2 linked regions of the Tribolium castaneum genome follow. The protein of the gene in region 1 purifies or fractionates together with the protein of each later gene. This does not show direct contact. Links are inferred from orthologs where the notes say so. Each region holds a gene or a part of one and is shown on either strand. Other genes may lie near its edges. The genes, in order: NADPH--cytochrome P450 reductase and EMC4.

The links.
Region 2: the proteins of NADPH--cytochrome P450 reductase (region 1) and EMC4 purify together in Homo sapiens (affinity purification with mass spectrometry; 3 studies listed by BioGRID and IntAct, with this or other methods). This does not show direct contact. The link is inferred for Tribolium castaneum from reciprocal best matches to the Homo sapiens genes POR and EMC4.

The regions. Positions count from the first base shown.
Region 1 is NC_087395.1:17,529,330-17,542,450, reverse strand, and holds NADPH--cytochrome P450 reductase, read right to left. Parts: upstream 6,598-13,121; 5' UTR 6,495-6,597; coding exon 6,438-6,494; intron 6,108-6,437; coding exon 5,923-6,107; intron 5,874-5,922; coding exon 5,531-5,873; intron 5,479-5,530; coding exon 5,354-5,478; intron 2,174-5,353; coding exon 920-2,173; intron 772-919; coding exon 627-771; 3' UTR 462-626; downstream 1-461. Other genes in the region: ras-related protein Rab-36, read right to left, coding at 10,729-10,796, 10,846-11,056, 11,106-11,239, 11,289-11,353, 11,401-11,502, 11,547-11,731; uncharacterized protein LOC100142115, read left to right, coding at 11,853-12,105, 12,156-12,275. UniProt on the Homo sapiens protein: This enzyme is required for electron transfer from NADP to cytochrome P450 in microsomes. It can also provide electron transfer to heme oxygenase and cytochrome B5.
Region 2 is NC_087398.1:15,105,452-15,117,225, reverse strand, and holds EMC4 (ER membrane protein complex subunit 4), read right to left. Parts: upstream 5,120-11,774; 5' UTR 4,921-5,119; coding exon 4,868-4,920; intron 4,825-4,867; coding exon 4,362-4,824; 3' UTR 4,316-4,361; downstream 1-4,315. Other genes in the region: traB domain-containing protein, read right to left, coding at 1-137, 191-582, 631-878, 927-951; Pss (phosphatidylserine synthase), read left to right, coding at 5,427-5,602, 9,743-10,880. UniProt on the Homo sapiens protein: Part of the endoplasmic reticulum membrane protein complex (EMC) that enables the energy-independent insertion into endoplasmic reticulum membranes of newly synthesized membrane proteins.

The sequences.
Region 1 (13,121 bases):
TGAGTTATTTTTAAGTTTTAGTTTCTTTTTCTTGTTTTGTTTATGTACTTCTCTGAAGTTATTTGTTTTATTTTTCTTATTATTTAATGTTTATATTTTTTTTTGGGCTTGAGTTGAACAGCCTTCGGCTAGACTTTGCCACACAGAGTTTGTATATTCATTTATTTGTGTCTATTCGTTAGAATCCATTCATTGAGGAATTTTTTGCAAAGAAATAAAGTTTCTAGCCATATCCTGAAGGAAGATAAGACGATGTAAACACAAAATTTGACCAATTTTGTTTTCCAAAAAATTTTAACAGGAACATCTTGTCTTCACGATGAAGGCAATTCCAAACAGAAAATCGAATTTAAGATTCGAAGTCACTAGAACATTTTACATAAGAATTAATTACAAAAAAACGTGTGTCCTTCAACTTACTTGTGGCCAGTTATTTTGGAAACAGAAAAAATAAAACAATGTAAAACGATACCATTTATTATAAATATAATATTGTTTAGTAAAATTTAACAGTAGCAACCCGTCCTTGGAAATATAGCAGGAATGTCGCCGAAATTCAACAAATTTGGGCACCTTGGCAATTTTTAAATTAATTTTACAACAATTACGCCTAACGAAACGTTTTATTAACTCCATACGTCGGCGGAATAACGTTTCTGCGTTTCCATTTTCTTCAAATACGCTGACGCCTGTTGCTCGGTCATCTGATCTTTGTCTTGAATAATTTTCATGACGATATTACGCACTTCCGGTGCCATTGATTTCGCGTCCCTAAAATAGTTATTAATTATACGAGTGCGAAAACACAAGTTCGAGGGCTGTCGTTATGCAACCAGCGTATGCGAGTTGCATACTTAGACATCCGAGAACTTTGGGCGTTTTAATTTAAAACATGTTGCTATCGGAAACGCCAACTTACCCGCAAATATACAAGTGCCCATTGTTCTCCCCAATGATCCTCCAGACCTCCTCCCGATTCTTCTCCAACAGATGCGAAACGTAAACTTTATGCGCCTGGTCCCGCGAAAACGCCAAATGCAGCGTCAACAGCCCGCTCTTCTCGTAACTGAGCAACTCCTCTTCGTAGATAAAATCCTCAGCCTTCTTGCGACACCCAAAGTAGAGAACTGTTTCACCCACAGCCTTGTCTTCCTCCTTGGCTTGGTGGCGCTCCTGGATGAAGCCCCGGAAGGGCGCCAGTCCCGTCCCCGGCCCGATCATAATGATGGGGGTCTGCGTTTTGGTGGGTAGTCTGAACTGCGACTTGCGGATGAAGATGGGGGCTGTTGGGGGCTCCTGTCCCGGGGCCGGTTTCTTGAGAGCCAGCCAGGTGGTGCACACGCCCTTGTTGTGGCGCCCCGTGGGCGTCTTGTACTCCACCACGACCGCCGTGATGTGGACTGTGTTGGGGTAGAGCTTAGGCGACGAAGAAATGGAGTAATACCGTGGCTGGAGACGCGGTAAAAGTTCACAAAGGTGGTCAAGCTTGGGCTTGCACGAGGGCATGTCTTCGAGGATGTGCACGATGTTGCGGTTGTCTTCGTTGACCCACTGCTGGTACAGGGCTTTGCCCTCGGGGGACGTGCTCGCCATGGTCTTCAGCTTCTCCTTCTCCGCAGGGTCGGTGCAGTACTCGGACAGCTCCTTCAGGACGTGGGTGCGTGGGTTCATGGTGATGTCCAGGTAGTGGGTCAGGGCGGTCCGGTAGGTGGTGGGGCACGGGAACGGGTGCTTCTTGCTGGACTCCTCGTCGGTGTTGATGAGCGTGAAGATGGTGTCCAGGTCCGTGTTTGTCAGTTTGCCGATTTTCTCGACCAGGTCGGAGTCGTTGATTGGGTAAACGGCGACGTGGTCGCCGGCGTCGTAGCGCATTTTTGAGCCTTCGATGTCGAACTCGATGTGCATGCAGGACCGGTCGTTGCCTTTGTGGAGTTCACGATTGACCAGAATTTTCGCCAGGAAGGGGTTTTTGGCGTCGAAGGGCGGCCGCTGGTTTTTGAGGGAGTGGAGGCGCGCCATCTCACCAGTGTAGAGCTTCTCCGGGACTTCGTCTTTGAACTCCTGGAGGCGGTATTGGCGCATGCTGACGTCCTCGCCGGTTGACTCGATGCCGAAGTGTTCGCACACCGCGGGCCAGAACTTGTCCTTCCACGTGATAAAGTCATCTTCAATGCTAGACGAGAGTTAGACATTTAAAAATGGATGCTAATACACTGCTAGATAAATACATATTTTTTTAAAAAAACAGTTCAAAGATTTGATAAGAGAAAAAATAATACAGAAGCCTAAGAATCCCGGGTTTGGGGCGCAACAATTTCGAAGAATTAATAAATAATAATAATAATAATAATAATAATAATAAAATTGTGTACTGGTCGGAACAAAATATTCATGGTCATTATTTTATTTATTAAATAATAACTTGATCATAACTTGGAAGGCGGATTACTTAAAATCAAGGACATAGGTCTTTCATCTAATGAAAGTGCTTATTGACTTGGCAGTTTTGACAAAATTATTAACATAGTATTCGGAAATAAAATTAACTAGACGCCCTCTGGTGATGACTTTTGAACTATGTCGAAAACAGTAAAGAAATTTTCGTAATGCCACATTTAACTGACATTTAATGAATTGTTCAACAATTTTGCGTGTATAGTATTAATTACTTACAATAGAAAGAATTACTTTAAAAGTACGTGGTGGTAAATAGTAGCGTTGACTTTTGTTCTGTAGTTTTTCGTGGTATAAAGTGTTTATTGTTGGAACTTGAAAGTGGATAAAAAGTGAAAAATATTTAAATTTTGATTACGAAGTGTTATCAAACAGTTGTCTAATTAAAGATTATAAGTAATGGATCACAGCGAACACAAACTTTGGCTCAAGAAACCAATAAATTAGTGAAGTGTTATGAATTTTAGGTTAGAATTTTCCACTGAAAAAATCATGAAATGCTGCGGTAAATCTACAAAACTACAATAAAGATTAACAACTGCTGATACATTTAAACGTAAATTATGCCAAAAGGTAGGCTTTTCAATGTCTTTGTAATAATTTTCCAATAAAGAAAGTGAACCAAATAGTCATTCGTTATTCGTGTTTTCCTCGTCATCTCTCATTCGTCAACATAAGTTTCTTGCACCAAAGATACAATAGTCATTCCGCATAGGCAATGTAATAATTGTGAAGCCCCAAAATTCGTACAACACTCAAAATATCCGAATAAACATTTTCCCGCCATTTATGGTTACTGTTTTCGACCTAGCTCAGTGGCGCCCCCAACGGTAATTTTACTTCCGAATTTGCTAACAGAAAAGCCAGTAAATATCTTGAGGGCATTGTTGTTTTTAATTAACCTTAATTTTTTATTTTTTAAGTATGTATGCATTGTTACTAATTGCTATAATAAACAATAGGAGTTGATTAGGGAACTTTTAAAATCATTGTGACACTCACCATTACCATTATCAAAATTAATAAAAAAAAGAAAAGCATCAGCGAATGATGAATCAAACACTAAAATTTAAAAAAGTTTTGGTGAAATATTCAGGCAGAGTCCACCAAATGTATATACGATGTTTTTAACATTAAAATTCAGCGGGTTTCTCTTTAATAGTGTGTTTTTCTGTAAGCCTGAAATTTTTTCGGATTTTTTCTACAACTGCTTATAATTGAAATTAATTATTTACAAGTACGTTTACTTTTTTGGTGAGTGTAAGTATAGCTGTAAAAAATTGTTATACCTTGTTTCATCTGAGAGAACAAGCAATGCTTAGGTAAATGTTGTTTTGATCAAAATTCGTAAAAATGATGGGTAGCCCCAAAAAATAATTAATAAAGTAAAAATTCAAATAAACACTTCGTATAGAAAAAAATCAACGAGCGGGGCTTTGAGCGCCAAAATGGGTCGATACTGCCCTTTTTATTGCGTTGATATATATTTTTTTAAATAAACAATCTTTAAGTAGTACATACTGACTTCACATAGCGTGTATAATTTTTACCTAGCGTTTACGATTTTTTTAGGTAGCTTTTAATTAAAATTTGTTTAAAGTGAAGTGCCCACTGAAAAAATCGTTATTCACAAGATCTAATTTCAGTTCATAGGAGAATTTTACAACAACGCATTTACATTTTTTGGATTGAAATGGAGCACAAATTGAGAGTTTCTAGTGGGTTTGCTTGGCTCAAGATTTGTCCATTTTTCGCTGGGATTTAGTTAAACACAAAGTTCTTTGCTTATACAGAACTCAATTTGTGTTTTATTCACTTCAAAAAATTCAAATACGCTGTTGCAAAATTCTACAATGAACTGAAATGGAATATATTGTCTGTTTGAAAACTAAGTAAACACCAAAATTAGTTGTTATAAATGATTTCTGCACTTCAAAAATTTAATAGATAATGTAATTTATAGTTTCAATGAGAGATCTAATCATAATTAACTATAGATTTTTATCAACCTTATTTAAAAAAATAATTTGGTAAAATGCGACGTTAGGAAGTGCCTTTAAAAAAATTAAGATAAGGGTAGCTAGCGGCAAGGGCATTAAATAAAATACACTGTAAGTGTAACTTATTCAATGACAAGGGGATGAAACCTAAAATGTAACTACTGTTTACATAAAAAAATACACTGCTCAGTTTTGAAATGAAAGCCCTGTATGTATTTACTGTGAATTTATTTTTAATCTATTGTAGTCATATAGAGGGTGTTTCACACAACTTTACAAATTATTATTATTAATTATTTAATTTTTGGAAACTCATGACAGTAGTTATAGTCAAACTAGAAGAAAAAACAATTATCATGAGGTGGTCTTAGATACGATAACCATAAAGATAATCAATTCCCTTGGGAGTTATAGGATTTATAATTCCCTCCAACCTAGTTTTCTTCAACCATTCAACCTACAACTTTTTGTACGCCTCGGAACCAAAAAATAGAAGTGTTTTTTTCATTTTTTTTTAAATTCCGTCAGTGATTTTACTTTTTTATCTCATTTTTATAAGACAATTTTTAATAAAAAAATTTCAGATACGTAGCTTCCGTCAAAAATAATAAATTTTTACTTTTAGTAGAAATTTAGTTTGGTAAGAAATAACATTATTTATCTATTAGGGGAATTATTACCCAATACACCCGTTAGGCAACGGATTTACTGCCCAAAGGGCTGTTAAGACCCTTATAATTCCCTTGGAATGTGAATAACTATTACTGTGCATTTATTATTTTTATTAAAAAAAATACTTGACGTTTAAATAAAATACTGTGCACTTAATGATTTATACTTGGTGTACTTAGCGTTTAACGAAAATAAAAAAATATTTTTATACAAAATGTTTGTCTTACTTGGCGTCGTCGTCGCCCAGTCCGAGATCAAACACTCTCGTGGCCCCCAGCTCCTCTAGCCTCTTGTCAACATAGATGGCGACTTGGTTGTAGTGCTCGTAGGTTTTGTTCCCCAAGCCAAACACCTACAATTACCAATCAGTTACGGGCCTCCACGTGTCGGCCAAGGCCACCTACCGCATAATTGAGGCCTGATAAATCAGCGTCGCCGTTTTGCAGCCACTCGTAGAACTCCATGGCATTGTCAGTGGGGTCACCTTCCCCGTACGTCGCCAAACAAAACACAGCCAGACTGTTGGGGATCGATTTCAAGTTCACCAGCTCCTCCATGTCGCACTCCTCGGGGTCCGCCACCATCCCCTTCAGCCGGTACCTGACGCCCTCCTTGGCCAGCCTCCCGGCGAACTCTTCCCCCGTTCCCGTCTGGCTCCCGTAGAACACCACCAGGCTGCGTCCCGACGACTTGAGTTTTTTGATGAAGGAGTTGTCGGAGCTGGTTTGGAGGGTCATGGACGTGGGTCTGCGAGTGGCAATTAGAATAATGAATTGTTTTTTAGGGAGTTACTTACTGGATGGAGTATGAGCGTGCGGTGGCGGCCACATCTTTCTTCTTCTGCTTGTTTAGGAACCACCAGGCGACTCCGCCGATTAAGAGCGTCAGCAGGATGATGTCAATTGTGCTGAAGAGGGACTCGGAGGCTTCGGGGATCTGCTGGGTGCCGAGACTCGCTTCTGCTTCGTCCATTTTGAGTAGCTGAAAAAATCCCGAAACTAAAGACGCAATGGCTCCGATCGATAAAATCACTTTGACTTATTAGCAAATGGAATGACATGTAGGAACAGATAATGACGAACTTTGAACGGCGAGAATAATAACTGCGATAAGAATTTTCGTTTTGCCGGATCATTCTGAATTTCACTTTTGCGCGATGAAAGTGAAACCATGATGCTGCGCTTTACAACAATGGATCTCCCGATTTTTATTGTTTCGAAGCGAATTAATGCTCAATCGGAAAAGCGCACCGTAATAGCAAAATGCAAATCAAGTGCAAAGTGAGCGTCCTTGAGGCACAATTAGACTCACCGAAATAACTAAAACACCAACTAATTTCAAGCAATCGCACACATTTTTTTTATCCATTTTGGCGAACGAGTTGAAACAGAAAGCAATCAAGGCACATTTAAAAGTGGACGGGTCCGTGCACCGTGCGACCTTAAATAGCAAGTGTTACATGCAGTAATGTTGTGTGACGTCACGGCAAGGAATTACATTAAAATGATTAAAAAGAAAAATCGTAATAACATTTATTTGCATATTGAATTGGCAAATTTGTTATCGTGACTTCCTAAATTATCATCGGCAACAAACAAAATTTAAGCTTTAAATAATTACGTGTCATTGCTCAACTCCGGATTCGGCAGATAAAAGTATTATTTATGAAAAAGAAAGCAAAAAAATAGAAAGCTAATTTTCCACGAGTGTTATTATTGTCATCATCACGTACTATTCCGCGAAATGCTCAGTTGTCTACTTATAGATAATTTTTGTATTCAGGAAGTAAAAAACATCACATCAGAACCAAAAAAAACACATTTAATTAAAAATTCTATTTTAATTTTGGATCCTTGATAGTAGGTAGTTGTACGGATATCTAAAGGTTAGGATATGAAACAAATAAATCGTTATTTCAAAGGAATGAGTTTTAAAAAATTGTATTTGTAAAACGGTTAACACATAGGAAACAAAAAATACAAACAAAAACAAAAAGACATCAACATAAGACACAGATTTTATCGTAAACTACATTAAAACAAATTTCAAGCTTCTACCAATTTGCACTCTGCCCCATATTTTTCAACGGTTACAGATGTAAGAAGAATCAAATCAAATTATTTCACAAAATTTTGAAAAAATCGACCAAAATACTATCACCCTATTACTTATAATAAAATGGGAGTTATTTAAGTTCTCTTCATGTTGAGGTTAAAACTAAGTTCTTTTTTTTTCAAAAATTTATTTGAAACTTAATGGAAAAACACCGAATTTGATCGAAATTGATGTTATTTTATTTTGATGCTAGTTTCTCTCAATCTAGCTCGCTTTTGATTGAAATTTTGTCAAAATTAGCTGAAAAACAACATTTGGTCGAAAATCATGGTGTTTTTTTTGAGCTAAAATTTTAATAAGTTTAGAGGCGGCGCTAAAACAAATAAAAAAGCAGCAAACTGAAAATTCGTTGAATTTTTGCTGTTCTTGAGTGTTTAGCAAGTTTTCCAGCCAAAAACAGAATTTTTTTTTCGAGAGGTTCACATACTAAGTTAGTAATAACTGACTAAGAAATCACCAAATTTGATCGAAATTGAAAAAATTGTGTTTCTTTTTGAACCTACAATTCATTTATTTTATAAGACGTCAACACGCCTCAAAAACACAAAAATAAAATGCCTGTTTCACTCGATTTTTTGTTCTTTTTTTCAGCGAAATTTCGTTAAGAATAAGCTGAAAATGGCAAAATTTGATCGAGAAGTGAGTTATTCCTACTTTTTCCAAGCTTTTAAACACCTAAATTAGAGAATAAAATTTCAGTCAGCTATATCCCTACCTTCAACCATTTAGGCCCCAAAATCGTTCAAAGACGTTCAAAAGACGTATTTACTACCGTATTATTTTTTTGGGTTCTGAAAATCCTGCGATATTGTATTTCGTTTCGTCTCCTAAGTTATAGCCTTTAGTAGGTAGTTTTTAAACTATCATTGTTTACAATTACTCATTTGTCATGTTTTTTATCACTAATCTGAGTGAATGTAATCATAATCTTTCTTATCACTAATAATTATTATTAATTAAAAATGTTGCAATTTTTGTAAAAGAGTGTACAAATTGGACAAGTTTATAAAATTTTCAAGAACTGTAGTGAAGTTCGTGTCTGTATTATTGATTATACAGGGTCTCTAAAAAAGTATGGATACAGTTAAATATTTTCAAAACAGTTTAACAGAGCACCTTAAAATTTGGGTAACTGTTAAAAGTGTTTAAATTCTATCATCTGAGAACTTTCTGAACTCTCTGTCGTCATTTGTTTTAAAAATACAAGGCTAACTTGATTTTTTTTAAATGGGACAAGGGGTCAAACTTAATAATTTTTAATTATAATATTTTAATTATAAGTTTTTTCCTGATTTCAGTAGTGTAACATAATACCCACCTTTATTTTGATTAAAAAGTAAAAAAAAACTAAAAATTCAAAAATTTAAATTTCGATTTCTGGAAAAGTAAAACCAAGTTAGCTTTGAAAATATTGTTATTAGCGATCTGTCACATTGTCCAAAAATGAAACTTGTGTGTAATAATTAGTTTAACTGAGCGAAAAAAATTCTCATGTTGGTTGGTCATGCCAATTTTGAACATCTTTTGTAGCATAAATGTATTTCGTGTTTAAATGTATTCTTTTTTAGTTGAAAGTGTTATTTCAAGAATTATTATTAACTTTACATATTTTTTGGTGAATGTTTAAGCGGCAAAGAGCTAACAACAAATGAAGACAACATTTCCAAGGCTAATAAAATTTTATTAATTCGATTTTTTTAAGTTTCGATTAAAATAAGGGATCATGTGTTACACCACAGAACTCAGAAAAAATGCTCAAAATATGAAATTTGATCCTTCTTGCCATTAAAAAAAATTCAAGTTAACCTTGTATCCTAAGAACAAATAGGGACATAAATTTGATAAACATCTGAAACGATAGAATTTATATACTCTTAAGGATGTATAGTTTTTATAATATTTAACTGTATCCATACTTTTTAGACCTACCCTATAGGTCTCGTAAAATTATGTGAAACACCCTGTATTTGGCAACACATTATTATTGTTATTATTATTAATAATTTTTATTAGTGATCCGATAATCATCACTCTTTAGGGCCTTAATGATTTTTTTTTTCAAAATACCTTTGACACCACAAACATTATTTTTTCAATTTTTTGGAGAAAACAAAGCTCATCAAAAGAGCTTTCCATCGTAAAAAAATGATGAGCCGTCTTGTGTTCTAAAACAATCGGGTTTAGATATTTTCAGGTTGAATTTGTGACAGATTTTTTCAGTGAACTTGAATCTGTAGCCATTTTTTACGCCGCGGTCTAAACAAATTACAATGATTAAATTTATCGCCCATTTAAATGCATAAAACTAGGTACAATTGCAATTAAACTGCCTATCGCTGGGCCAATCAGAGTCCATTTCCGTCATTCGGGTGATTGAGAACGTGGCATTATGGTCCGCATTGAATGAATATCTGATTTTAGGACACATTCGTTTTACTAATTTTGTCCATAATTTTGCTCCACTTTCGCCGTAACTTTTTGATGCAAGTTGTTTACACAAACTCTAATCTCAAACGTGATGATTTCATTTCATTTTTAATAAACCGATAAGACTTAATGACCTTTTCCAACATTTTCACTGCAAAAATTAAGATAATGTAGACATCGGAACAGGTTTGTCGGTGTTTTCAAGTACAAACCACTGTTTAAAAAATAAAATACGAAAAGTACAAGATTATGAGACCTTTACTGGTGTTTTACTTCTAATGGTACTTCTTATAATCAGCGGTGTGCGGTTTTAATTGCTGGTAATTATGTTACTTGTTTGCAGATTCACTTATTTTTATTTATTACACGAGACAGAAAATGGGTGTCATTAGAGCAATCTTCGCGTGTCCGTTCAGGCTGACCTTGACTTAAAAACAATAAGTGTAATAGTATATAATTTTTATTTTGCAAATGCCTTGACAAAAACTCAAATTTATATGTACATACCTACAACTTGGTGTACGTGACTTGAAAACAACGTCTAAATGTAAATCACGAATCACCTATACAGTGACGTCGAAATTGGAATAAATCGGAATTAATTGACCACGAAAACACGGCACACAAGGGACGTGTTGGGTCATTCCTCCACAAGGGGATTTTCCCCGCAATTTAAATTTGCCGCGCAAACTGGCCTATTAGTGCAGTCCAAGTAATTATTATTCATTACCTGGCTGTTGATAACTCGGGAATTGGCGAAGGCCCTCTTGATTGCAAACACCCAGACCGAAATTACCACACCTGTTGCAAAACAAGGGGGGAACACTTAATTTTTTACGTTAATTTTATTAAAACAGTGAACGTAAATTAACTAGAGACACTGGGTATAAGGTAACTACGTCAAAGGCTCGGACGCAACAAAATTTATCTGTCCAAAGTGCGAGAAATGGGCAAAACGAACACAAGGCTGTTTTGGTGATTACATACTTCCGGCAAGGTCACGTGCGGCGTATAACTGGTTGCCTACACAACTAAATACTTGGGGGAAAAACATGTCTATTTAAGCTTTTGCACACTTGCTACCGCACCCAGTGTGCCGATCATCACCCCTTCTCTTTTTCTCCACGCCTGAAAGTCACCATTAATTGAAAAAAAAATGTAAACAGACTTGTCATACATATTAATTCAGTTCCAATTTTTTTGCTATTGTTGTTGATGTTTTCCGTCCCAGTTATGTTAATGTGCCGTTTAAAGCTCAGAGCTGCGGCCCTGACGAACAGTTCGTCAATGTTTTCGCCAGTTTTGGACGAAACGCTCCAGAATTCCGCGTTCAGAGTTTTTGCACTTGCTAGGGCGATTTTTTCGACACTGTTGTACCCTTCTTGCGACTGAAACGTTACTAATCAAGAGACTTGAAGCAATTATTTAAACAATTACGAGCAAGTCTTTCTTGGACCCGACAAGGAAAATAAAAGGGGCGTTGTCTTTGCACACTTCGAGAGCGTCATGTAGCCAATGTTTGCAATTTGCCAAGGTTCTTATCGTCGACAAATCAAACACGAGCATAATAACTGGAAGTAACATTAGAATGATTATTCAAAAACTGGTTTTTATTGTTACCATGAGCTTTTCTGTAGTAACATTGAGCGATGCATTTGAAGCGTTCCTGACCTGCGGTATCCCATCTACAAATGACTTGTTACTTTACAATAAACATAATTGAGTATTTAACATTTGTAAGTAGTAGGGGATTCCCAGAATATTGATTTGTTCCGAATGAAAGTCCACTCCGATTGTTGTGCGGTAACTCGAGTCAAATATTTTGTGACAGAAGCTAGAAACCCAATTATAATTATGCCACAGTGTCGTATTAGTTACCGATTTAATAGAGATGTTTTCCCAACACACAAATCACCCAAAATGATAACTTTACACACTTTCAAATTATCGCGACTCAGATGCGCTTTATTCCTCTTCAATAATTCGAAATCAAAGTTGTTTTTATCGTACGGCGTGAATTTGGAAGCTTTGGGAAACGTGTTAATCTCCCTAATTTGTGCCATTTTTATTTCGTGTGTTTGTATCGCTCGGGTCACTCAAACGTGACTCCGCTTTTTGAAATTGGCGCGCGAAATCCTAACCTCACATTTATCATGTGTCAAAAAAATTGTGTGTAAAGAAAGAATGTCTTTACAATGCACAGAGTGCAGCCGAGAGTTTTCCGTGAAAAGTAATTTAACGCGACACCTTCGCATGGTTCATGCTTTGGACGTCGAACGCATTGATATACTACCTGGGGATTTCGATACCTACCACTACAAGTGTCTTGAAGGCTGCAGTATCTCGTTCAAGTACAACCGGGAGCTGCGGAGGCACCTCAGCGTCAAACATGAGATTAATATAATTGAGCTGAATTTGGATTTTCCGAATACTACTGGTAATAAAGTGTGAAGTTGTGGATTTGAAATGAAAGGGTGACAATTGCAGAGTTTAAGAAGTGGTTGCACAATGAAGAGACTGAGAACTACGTGCAGTACGTGCATTTGACGGCCACGAAGCGCCGGAGTACGGGGGCGGAGACCTACTATTATGAGTGTAGCAGGACAGGTGATTTATTTTTGGATTTTACGTTTTTTACAGCAGTGGGCACAATTTTTCAATATTTACTACAAAAGCTGACAGTTTATAAGTTTGAAATGGGTTGGAATTTGAGAAAGTTGCTGTAAATGTGATAAAAAATCATATTATTATGTGTAATTACTAATTACACATTACATTAAATTATAGGTTTTTATTAGTTTTATCAGGAAGTGGACTGTAACTTTGAAATAAGCTGGCAACACTGAATCTAATGATATTAATAAATCTTTTAAGATATTGGCTAAATCAATGGTCGTTTGCGTTTTAGCCCAAATACTTACTTGAAGGTTTTTAACCAAGCAAAAGTAACACAATTTTCTGCACAGTTTATTAAATTTTTGTGTTGTTTTCAACGAAATTTTGTGAAATAATTGCGTTTCTGGTTAAAAACGTAATAAAATGCTCGTAAAATGTGAAAATAATACAATAGAAACAAATAAATGAAATAATACAATTCATTATTGACATAATTTAACGGTTTTTCAAAGCTTGACAAAGCCAAAAATAATACAGCAAAAAAAACACTGAGGTCAGAGATTAGGAGAAGGTGAAACTGACACTAATTACGGCCAAATTTTGTAATTATTTGGCTTGATTTGTTCCTGATGTGAAATAAATGAGTTTCTTGTTCAAAAATAAAAAACGTCGAGTGAAGCAGGCAAATAAATTTAGATGTAGGTTGTATAATTTTAGCCAGTTTTAGCGAAATTTGTCGAAAAAACTAAGATTTTACGTTTGAACACTCGAAGTAAACAGACTAATACTAAATTTGCCCAATTTAGTGACTATTTGGATAGTTTTAAAGTAAAGTGG
Region 2 (11,774 bases), on another chromosome or scaffold:
CCGCCTGGAGAGAATGAGTTAAATAAATGTCCCTCTCGTTCAGAAATACGTCCCTAAACGCCGGATATTCGCCCGCCAATTCAGTCAATAACTGTTCTAACATATCACGCTTTTTACACTTCTCTATGTCTTCAATGCTAGAAATTAATCATGTGAACTTCACTAGATCAAATTAATACAAATTCAGTACCTGACTTTCTCTTTTGAAGTCAACAAATGCCACGCTAGCTTAACAGTCTGGAACCAAGTTAACTTGGACAAAGCTCTGTGGAGGGTGATTCCAAGGGGGCGATCACCTAGCAGCACCTCGCAATTGGGGATTTTTTCGGCCTCCTGATAAGCAACCCTAAATTCGCCCCCTGGGGCCATCCCCAACTCCTTCGTAATATGGGCACTCATATTCAAGAGCAAAATGTACATAATTCCATTGTAAAGGCCACTAGACTTAATATTATTAACAATTTTTTGCAAATCTATATTTTTGGCTTCTTCTAAGATTGTTTTTTCATCCAACGACAAAATGTTGGTCCTTGAGGCACACAGTTCCAAAACAACAGCATGTGGAAGAATATTGCGAATAACCTAAGGTCAAATGGGAAAAATGGCAAACACTAGTCAAGTTGCACTAACTTTGATAACATCCTCCTTGGATTCGTTGCTAAAGTGAGCCGTTCCAACGAGATAAACTTTGGCACCTGTTGCTTCATGTTTGAGAAGAGTCACCGTTTCGGGGAGATTATTGTCAAAGTCCTCGTCAGACTTGCCTCCGTTTGAAGACGACTGGTCGGTGTCGCCGATACTTAAAATTTCGAGTGTCTCGCTTTTGTCCGAACCGTGTTCCGAATCGGAATTCGCTTTTAAGGTGCTGTCGGTTAATTCTGCAATTTCTACCGTTGCAAAAGGGTAAATGCAAATAAATGATTTACCGAAATTTGTTAACGAGTTTTCCATTGTTGGTATTAAAGCTGCAACACGTAAAACTACAAGGGAACTAAAACTAAACTGCAAATAGCTATGAGAGAAAAACGACTTTTGAAAGTGTCAAATTTATGACAATGACAGCCGCATTGACGTTTCGGTTTAGGGACTTTCGGGTTGTTGGGTGCATTATGACTCCAAATTCAAAAAATAACACACAGCCTTCAGGAGTTTGTATTCTTTAACAATAAAAGTTTTCATTTGTGGAAAGTGAATCTATGATTTCATAGTTCCGATAGAGTCGCCAGAACGCGCAGTTGGTCAGTTCCGTTAAAAATTTCAAGAGCAATAGTAAATTGGAAAAATGACTGCATTTATATAAATCATGATTAATGGTGCACAATTCCAAAAAAAAACGCGTGCAAATAGTGCATTAAAGTCACAAATTAAAAATTATGTTGAAAACTACATTCAAATAAATAACTGCGAAAGTGCGAATGCAGTTGAAGATACAAAAAAAATGTAAGAAAAAATAAGTTGTAGAGTTAAGTTTTCTTCTTTAAACAAGTCTGCGGGACCGTATGTCTGTCTATCTTCTACGATTTAAGCCCCAATTTAACCGACCGAATACATTTCATTTTTGCCGATGATTTAGACGCGTAAAATTAATTTAAATCTAAGTCGTTGAAAATAGAAATATGGTATTTTTTTTGTTTATTTTTTATTTTCAGTTTGTGCCTTACACTTTTTGTATCTTCACACGTATTCGCTGCGCTGTTTGATAACCATGAAACGTACATAATTTGCAATAGGTACCTAGATTTACTTGATCTCTAACCGAGGGGTAAACCGCACTCCAAATTTTGTACATCAGATTTTCTCTAATTTAATAATGATTTTCCCTGATCTCCTTTAATTTACTCTAAATTCTTACAAATTCCACAAAATTTTGTTTATTTTTTTACAACAATTTTCTATGAGTTTCTCAAGATTTCCTCAATTTTATACACCGTTTTATTTTGAAATACAAAGATATCTATAAACTGAATTTAACACTTTTTATGTCTTAATTTGTTTCCGTTAGTAATGTTAGTATACCTATTTGAAATAATCAAATAATGTGTGGTATTAGGGCCGTTCCGGTTGATGGAAATTATAGATAATTAAAAAAAAAAATTCAAAACCTCAAAGAAACATCAAATGATGTAAAAATATAGAGAAAAATGGAGGATTATCGCGCAGCGACTAAAACACCTCATCAACGTTACAGCCATTTGATAATAGTATATTAAAAAACAAGTTTCATAAGACCAGTCTTTAAAGCACGAATTCAGTTTTTTGAAAGAATGTATGCTTTAAAATCTTATGAAACAAGTTTTTTATACTATTTTTTGTAATTTATCCCCTTTTTGCCGCTTGTGACAGATGGTAATATCTTAATTTTGAAAGTGAAAAATTGATTTAAAATTTTTGTTTTATCAAAGTATTGTCAAAAAACAAGAGCTTGGATGGCAATAGAGGTACCTAATCTTCGCCTCCTGAAATTTGTGAAATTCGCCAAACTACGGTCCCGAATTTGCTTCTTGCCAACCTAAATATTTTCATAAAATGTTCCGTCAAATAATGACTATTATGACATCGCACTTGATGCTTTAAGATGACTATTAAAGCATCAAAATGGCGGCAAATTACAAAAATGTATTTTAAATTTTGTCTTTGTAGATCTCTATAGTAGTCAATACACCAAAAAAAGTACTGAATTTATTCTAGTGGCATCGAATTAATTTAATTCGTTGGGTACACATTTGTTATAGTTATATAAGTTTTATAACTAGCTGTTAAGTTAATAGAATGAAATATGCTACCGTAGGTCAAAATGTTTTGTTAAAGTAGATTTTTTTATTTGTATCAATATGTCAGTCTGAGTTTCCTTTTGAACATAGTCAAGATCACATTGAGCAGTGCTTACTTTTGTAATTTTGTATATATAAACATTTATATTAATAATGTACAACTAAGGGTACACACCACGCAAGGTTATCCCCTCAGCATTTTATAGGAAAATAGTAAATATTTTTAATTGCTATTTTTTGAAAATGTTACGAACCTACAAATAAAAACGAAAAAGGCAAACCTTGGATCTCCGAAAAGCTTCAAAAAGCAATAGAAGCATTTAATAGGAAATCTTTTTTGAGGAGCAAAAAAGAAAAAGGCAATGGCTTTAAAAGCAGCTGCAAATAAATACCTTATTATTTGGATTATTAAAGACAAACAGTTTTTTTTTAATTAAGCATTCAAATCAAATTATGTCAGTTTCCTGATTCATGCAAATCATATTTTTTCAAAAATTCAGTAAAAAACATTGATGATAGTTACAAAAAAAAGAAAAGAGTAATAATAAGGTTCTTGTAGAAAACCAGATATCCGAAAAAAGTCGACCATTTCATAAAAGTGTTTCTCTTTTCAACGGTTTAATTGTTTGTAAGACAGGTCGTTAAATTAATTTCAAGATACTCAACAACATTGGTACTCCCATAAGAAGTAAAAACTTGAAGATAAAGATATGGTCCTTAAAGTTTTTAAATAGAAAATTAGTTTTCTAAAATTTTGTTTCCTAGCATACAATTTTTATAGGTATAAGCAAATTCAAGACGGTTTGGGTGTAGCTCGCTATATCTGAAACAGAGATAATCTTATCGCATTTTTTTCTGTTATGTGTGGAAATTTTCGTCGTCGGTTTTTCGCAATCTCTTAAGAATGTAAAGTTCAACATTTCTGCATTTATTCCAAGCAATTTCTCTGAATTTTAATTAATTTAACTCGATTTACGGAGCAAAGACCGTCTAACGTTCAAAGCGCCCTCATTTTACTGTGAACAGAAAATCGAATAATGTTGTCTCATACTTCCCTCAAATTAGTTTTCAATAGTCGCAAAATTTAGTGAAAAAGAAGCTACAAAAAAAATTATTCATTTAGTGGACTTGGTGAGTTTGATGTTCTTGGATTGGCGACCCAGGCTGTCACATGGCAGCTGTCACAAAATTTCAATGTCAAGCTGACGAACAATTTATACTTAAGTTAACAAAGAACGGAATAAATTAACATAATAGGCCCAAAACAAACTAGAAATATGGTTAGAGGATTGGTAAATATTCATTCGCAACCATTCGTTGGTTGTGCCAATTTTTATTTTTAAAATTCCAGTTCAGTTTTATCGTGGGACTTTATGCAGGAGTTTACCTTAGCCAAAACTATGATGTAAGTATTTTTTGTTGATTTACACAATAGTTCTATTGATTATTGAAATTTTGCAGATTCCGCGAGTGGACGACCCTCAGGCTTTATTTGAAAAGATTAAAGACTTTGCCGATAAACATAGGAAGCAATAGATTAATCGTTTAGTAGCTGTGTGTGATTTATTTAAATAAAATTATGCTATTACATTATAATAGTGATACACCACCACCCAAATATTCAAGTCTGACTGGGGGCTCCACAAAGGCCAACCAGTCGCTGGAATGTGTGGGCAACAAGCCCATACTTTGACACTTGTAAAGGGCTAAACCAATATTAATGCAATTCCCCAAAATGTAGACAAACATTTGTTTAAAAGCACTGCTATTTTCCACCATTTTGAATGTACTTTTTGTGGCGAAAATGGCCTGAACTGGCCTCATCAGAAGCATCCCAACCATCATAATTGGGAAAATTGAAATTGAATTCCCTGCCATGTACATGATGAACAAGTTCATTGGAACTTGCTTCAAGGGGGCTAAAGCCAGGTCCCACGATTTTTTAGTTATTAGGCGACTAACGTCCGTTTTTTTCGAAACATCACTGCTTGAGGCAGGTCCAGAGGGGCTAAAGGCTGGGGGAGCGGCCAAACCTTCTGCTACACTGCGATTTCTGAAACCTCGGGTAAAAGTGCAATACAACCACCAGAACGTACCTGGTATTGTCCAAAGCCCACTTTTGCCGCCTGATCTGAAGTTTCGTAGACATCCTGCTGCAATTTTGACACAATTATTGACACAAACTTATTAATATTTCAGGTTATGTCCGACTGTCGTAACTGTAACCACTATCGATTGCGGTAACGACACGCGTACTAAAAAAATTCAAACGAGTTTTGAATAAAAGAGATTAGGTCCGGGATTGAATTAACCGAGACGTAGTCATTTCCTGAAGCACCAAACCATCAGTAATTACCACTTAACGATTAAGTTTGACAAGAATAACAAAACACAAGTCACACCTCAGACACTGCCACCATGTCCACCAATCGTAATGATTGAAATTTACCAAGTGTTGAGGGTGTGTTTAATATTAAATTACTAGACTTATGTTGGTGGTAATGACTGATTCACGAATGAGTTTCGGTTCGCGCTTTTTGCTGATTGGAAAATCACATGTTATTTCGAACAATCGTGTTTAGTTCCTTGTGAATCAGTTAAAGGTCAGTTCGCAAGTGTAGATGGTCGTTAAAGCAATAAAAATAGTACACCGAAATGGAGAAGAATTCCAAGGGAAAATCGAATACATCGTCTCGGAGTAGATTTGACAGTTTCAACACCATAAATGAGAAACCGGTGGATGATATTTCGTTAGAAGCTTTCTACACCCCACATAGCATTTCTGCACTTGCAATATCGATAGCTATCGTTATTTATTTTGCTTTCGTTAGGTAAGTAATCATTTTTTAAATGTGAAGGTTAGGTTATGTAAGAACTGCACCTTTCAATACCCCTAGAAAGGGCTGTTCCGATTGGTATTCACTGACAAGTCGGTTCTTATCTATTAGTAGTTTTTTGCGTTTGTTTATCATTGATCTTTGACTCTTCTGCTCTAGAATCTAAGATAATTAATTGGATAAAACTATCCTCATTTAAATTCCTTTTTGTTGCAAAGATAATAACCTTCTGTAACTCCATATAAATACAAAAATTGCTAATTGGGAGTGATACACATGGATTTATGGGTGTAGGATGAGTCATTACTGCAAAATTCATTGCATGGGTCTCACTTAATAAATAGTGATGTTTAAATTTAAAATGTAAGTAGTGAGACTCAAAAAACCCATTGTCTATTCCAATTTATTTATCGATATGGGACAATTTATAATAATTACATTTACCTTATCCTTTCATGCACAACCCAAAGTATTGAAAATGACTGTGCTGTCTTTCTTAATCTCCAAATCGTAAGTTTTAGAAAACCTTTGTCCTTTGTAGTAAGTTTTTCTAGCAAATATTTAACAGTTATTTCCAATTCAAGTAGCATTTGTATGCTTTTTATTTTACGAGAAAAAGATTTGAGAAAATGAGTGGGCACTGACCAGTTTTAAATTCTCGAATAACGTAAATAGTATACCAGGTGGGCAACCTTATCGCACATCTAAGAAAATCGCGATTTGTAATTAATTAAAAAAATTGCATTTTACACGCCTGACTGTACGTTCAAAAGGTATATCCTCTAATTTTTTGGTAATTTTTTACTTACTTAAAGATAATAATTGGAAAAAGCAATTTTCGACCAAACCCACATTTACATTTTAACTTCAAAATTTATTTTTACTTATGAGTTGCTTCTTGTGGCGTCGTAAATTTAGGTGACAATGTGAATTAATTGGGGTAAGATTTCGTTGGAATATTTCAATGCAGGCATCAGTTTTATTGCAATACTGTAAATAAGGGGCTTCAAAAAGGTCGGCTACTGGTAAGTGATCCCTTTGTAGGCAAATTATACCATCTTCTGGTTTGCTTCTAAATAAAAAAGACCAATTATTTAACAAATTTAATAAGTAAAATTTATACTTCTGATATCAGGGTTCGATGGACTTGCAGGTAAGGATTCACTTAGTCTAAAAACTTTGTAGTTAAATTATAGGTAACAGTTAGTGCCCAAAATCTCATAAAACTGCTACGACTTTATTTATTAACAAAACAATTAAATAAAAATTGAGAATGGTTGTTATCAATGTGCAGGATTTTCATTTCATTAGAAATCGCGATTGTCTTGAGTGCGCGATAAGGTTGCCCCACCTGGTAACGAGTGTGGAAAGTGAGTGATATCGTGCGAGTGGGAATCTTATATTTTATTATTTGTTTATGGTTTCAATTTTGACGAATTATTTCTAATATTCGCCATGAGTGCTATGTAAGGATTTTTTAGACACCGACGTTACCTTAAACCTAATTTATGATATCCTTATCATATAAAGAAAAGTAAAAAAAAATCAAAGACTGTGCTATAAATTATAATACAGACTGATCCAGAAATACTGAGTCTGTTGGCAACACATTTGAAAGTATTTGTGCTTGTAATTTGCAACACTGTAACCGAATTCGATTTTTCTTGACAATTATTTGACGTACAACCCCACAAGAATGTTAAACAGTGTTGCCAACAGACTCAGTATTTCTGGATCAGTCTGTATAATAATTATTATTAATTTTCTTTATTTTTTTTCTTGACATCACTCAGTTCTTCCTATCGGATGAAGTTATTAATTCAGATTCTGGAATAAAACTCCCTTGTTTTTCTTTTATAGTGTTCAAATGCGGTTTTAAATTCTGTTTCGTTACACTAGTAGTAAAATTTAAGGTTGCAACGACACTACTAAGGAATTATGGTATGGCAATCTGAATGTTAAATGGTTAAAATAAACCAACTTTAAATTTATTTTTTAATTATTGAAAAAAAAAAATGCAGGGTATTCCAAGTTTTAGCACCCGTCAAGAAATAAATATTTCTAGTCGAGTAAATTTAAATTTTTTAAAATTAAAAAAAAAATGAGTAATGGAGTGTTATACTCGAAAGTAAAAGTTTTTGGAAATTGCAGATTCTGAAAGTAGACACAACATGATGTCTAGTAATATCGGTCTGAGTTTTTTAAATCGGTACTTTTTTAGTAATAATAGAAAATTCGCGCTGTGACGTAGCAATGTCTCGACTAATGATTCGTCAGTCTTTCGCTGCATACAATTAATGCTACGACCTACGTTTGGGTTGGTAAACGTCAAATACAAATGTCAAAGCCGTGCGTTGTCGATTGTGACTGTGTTGTGTGCTAATATTTTGCAGAAGTTTATGTTTTGGTAAAATGACTGCTCTTGCAGCACATCTGAAGTCGTATGTAAAACAACAGAGGCAGAAATTAAGAAAAAACGTACGTCTTTCAAGCTATCTTTGTTGGCCCAGTTTTCTATCTCAAGTTCTGTGCCTGGCTGATTCAAAAAGGAACATTGCTGACGTCAGGCCAGGAATTTTCACCTTTTCAATTATTTTTCTCCAAAACGGTTGAGCTTTGCTTAAAATAAAAAAATATGGGTAGCCTATTTTGTTGTTGGCTATCCGTATAAAAATTTTCATTTTTTAGTATTACACTCCATTGAACTTTCAATAAGTTCAATTGGCATTTAATTTCTATGTGTTATAATCTCTGGTGTTATTTCCAAAGTTGGAACCTACTATTTATTCGGACATTGTGACGGTATGTTGGAAATCCTTATAATTAGTTACTTTTGTATAATCATATTATATAACTGAAATAACAGAGAATTTAAAATGATTAACATTAAATTAAAAAGAGAAACATCTCCGATACTTACTACTATACGTGTGTTACTAGTAGCTACTAATTCATCTTTTCATCTTATGAGTATCACACTTGATAGATTTTATCTATAAATTACGTTGATGAAAGACAATAATAATAATTAGTTAGTTCTTTATGTTAATTTGTGGGTATTGAAAAACGATTGTTTTGCGGTTAAACAAAAGTAGATTAAATGCTCAGTTCATTTATTTTATTAAGAGTTAATTTATAGTTGTTATTCATTATTGAAAATTTTGCACATTTCAAAGCATGGTATTATATCGAAATAGTTGAAATGTTGAGTGTTCCGTTTTAAAAAAACACATATACAGGGTGTTTCGTCTAAACCCCATTGGTAGTTCTAATAATGATGGTTATCTGAAAATTTGTATACAACCCTAATCTGTTACGTCCTGCTCAATGAAAATATTTTCAAGATGGTGACACTTCCAGTTATACCGGAATACTAATACATATCGATGCAGAACAAAATTCTCCTTCATCTAGTAAAATAAAAACTAGGGCATCCCATTTGAAAAAAATAAGTTATGGGTACTTGAAATTCTCCAAACTTAACTCAAAAATTTTTAGGTTTATTATCTTCATTTACAATTTTGAACACACTGAAGAACAGATATAGGCCTTCTTCTTTAATTCTCCAAATATGATTTCGAAATCTCTAAAACTAAGAGAGTTACCGATCTTTTAAGGTGCAAATCCAAAAACTACAGAAATTCTCAAAAAATCTTAAATATCTCGAAGACGGTTAAACTTGGTATGGGGAAAGCTAATAAACACGGCTTTAAAATAACTCAACTAATCAAAAAACGCAGTGAAAAATAGCTTTCCATTTAAAATAATGAAGTTGATAGCGACCTCCGGTATAATCGGAGGTGCCGCCATCTTGAAAAAAATTTTATTGAGCAAAACACAACGGATTATGGCTGAGTACCAACTTCCAAATAAATATCTTTATTAGAAATTTCAATGCTGCTAATGTGGGGTTTAGCCGGAACAGGCTGTATACCTTATCAAAGCTAGTTCGGTGTATAGAACTTTAAGAAGTTACAAACCACAATTTTTTCTTTGCGCGTAAGCGCTCCGGTCCTCGTATTTAAATATAGTCACTTCTCTTTCGGTCGCAGCTTTTAATAAATCAATTTCTGGAACATTGAAAATTATACAGGAAAGTAGGGGTTGTTTTTTCAGCGTCAGTTTTTGTTGTAGGGATACTGAAAACGTCGAAAACAACATATGGGCAGGCATGCTATGTTGCATCTTCTTCTTCCTCATCATCTCAGTGTTGGCATTCCCCAACGGTCCCTTCACTCGTCCACATCCGGCCGTTTGGCGCGTCGTCTTCGGCATGAGCGTCATCTATCTCATGGGCTGTCTCTTTTTCCTTTTCCAAAACTACCAAACCGTCAAAAACATCCTTCTCTGGTTCGATCCCAGCCTCAAAGACTTCCACATAGACATGGACAAAGAATACGGCGTCAATTGCTCGGACATCACCCCCGAACGCATCTGGGGCCATATCGACGTCTTCGCATTAGGCCATTATTTGGGTTGGCTGTTCAAAGCAATTTTAATCCGGCACATGGGCATTTTATGGGCGATCAGCTTCATGTGGGAGATCACCGAAATCGCCTTCGCCCATCTCCTGCCAAACTTCATCGAGTGCTGGTGGGACGCATTGATTCTCGACGTGTTGATATGCAATGGGTTTGGTATTTGGTGCGGGTTGAAGATTTGCGAAAAATTGGAAATGCGCGAGTATAAATGGGTCAGTATTAGGGACATCCACACCACGTCCGGCAAAATCAAGCGTGCCATGCTGCAGTTCACCCCGGAGAGTTGGACTTCGGTCCGGTGGTTGGACCCGAAGTGTTCCTACATGAGGGTTTTTGCGCTTTGTCAGTTGGTATTGTTCTGGCAAACGTCCGAACTCAACACGTTTTTCCTCAAACATGTTTTCGAATTGCCAGCGTCTCATCCACTAGTCAGCGCTAGGTTGATTCTCATTGGTGTGATAGTGGCGCCCTCTGTGCGACAGTACTACAGCTATGTTACGGATACTACGTGTAAAAGAGTTGGTACCCAATGCTGGGTCTATGGGTGCATTATGGTCTCGGAAGCTTTGATTTGTATCAAACATGGAAGGGAGTTGTTTGAGCGGACTCAAGCCATTAATATAATCGTCTGGTTGATGGTACAGCTGGTTATTTCTGTGGCTTGTGTGATAGGGTGTGTCATGTGGCATAGAGCTGGATTGGCACGGGGGAATTCCAGAGATTTGAGTCCGGTGAAAAGTGTAGCTGGTGCGAAAATTCTCTTTGAGAACAGTGAGGAAAAGGAAGATTGATATTTTTAAGACTGTTGATATTGTTTAGTTAATTTTTTACCTCTTGTGATCTAGTCATTTAGAGTTGCGATTGTTTTATTAAGTTTTGTTGAGAAGTGACGGTATCACAGTTAAGGTTGATTTTAACGGGCGAATTTATGTAGAAAAATACATAATGAAGTTGCTATTTTTTCTTATTAACGCATCATGTTGCGTTAAAACAGATGTTTTGCATACTTTACATTAAAACACCTATTAGTTTACTCATAAAAAGCCTGAATTAGCAGTAGAGAAAGGTCGTCAAACTCTTCGATCTCCTCCATGACGCTGTTTAGATCTAATAATAATTTAGTTAATTATTTTTAACTAAGGAAACCATCTGTACGTGTAAAAAACATTTCACAGAGTTGAAATAAACAAAATTGAGTTTTTTATGTAGGCTGTTCAAAAATGTTTGTTCATCAACTCATTCTTTCAAATTTTCGTGCTTAAATATAGTTAATTTTTTTAAATAATCAACTGTCAATGTCAAAATTCTGATACAAACCAGACTGTATCACCCTAAAAGTTCATTTTGAACACCAGATTTAACATTTTTGAAAGTTGGACGTTAGTGTTAGTCGTTAATTCGTTAGTCTAAAGGTGGTCTAAAATAACTAAATGTGTTGTTGTACGTGTTTTAAATTGGAAAAAACTTGAAAAATTTGGAAATTGAATTTGCCAGGTAAAAGATTACACCAACCTTAATGACATTAATGACGGCTCTTAGACAGTTGATTATAAAAAAACGACTATAAGCGATATCACATTTCATAGGTGTCTTTATAAACAACCATCTCTGAACAGTTTGTATATTCTGTACTCAACTCAATATTTAAATTAATTAATTTTTGTCTAAATTATCGATTTTAAATC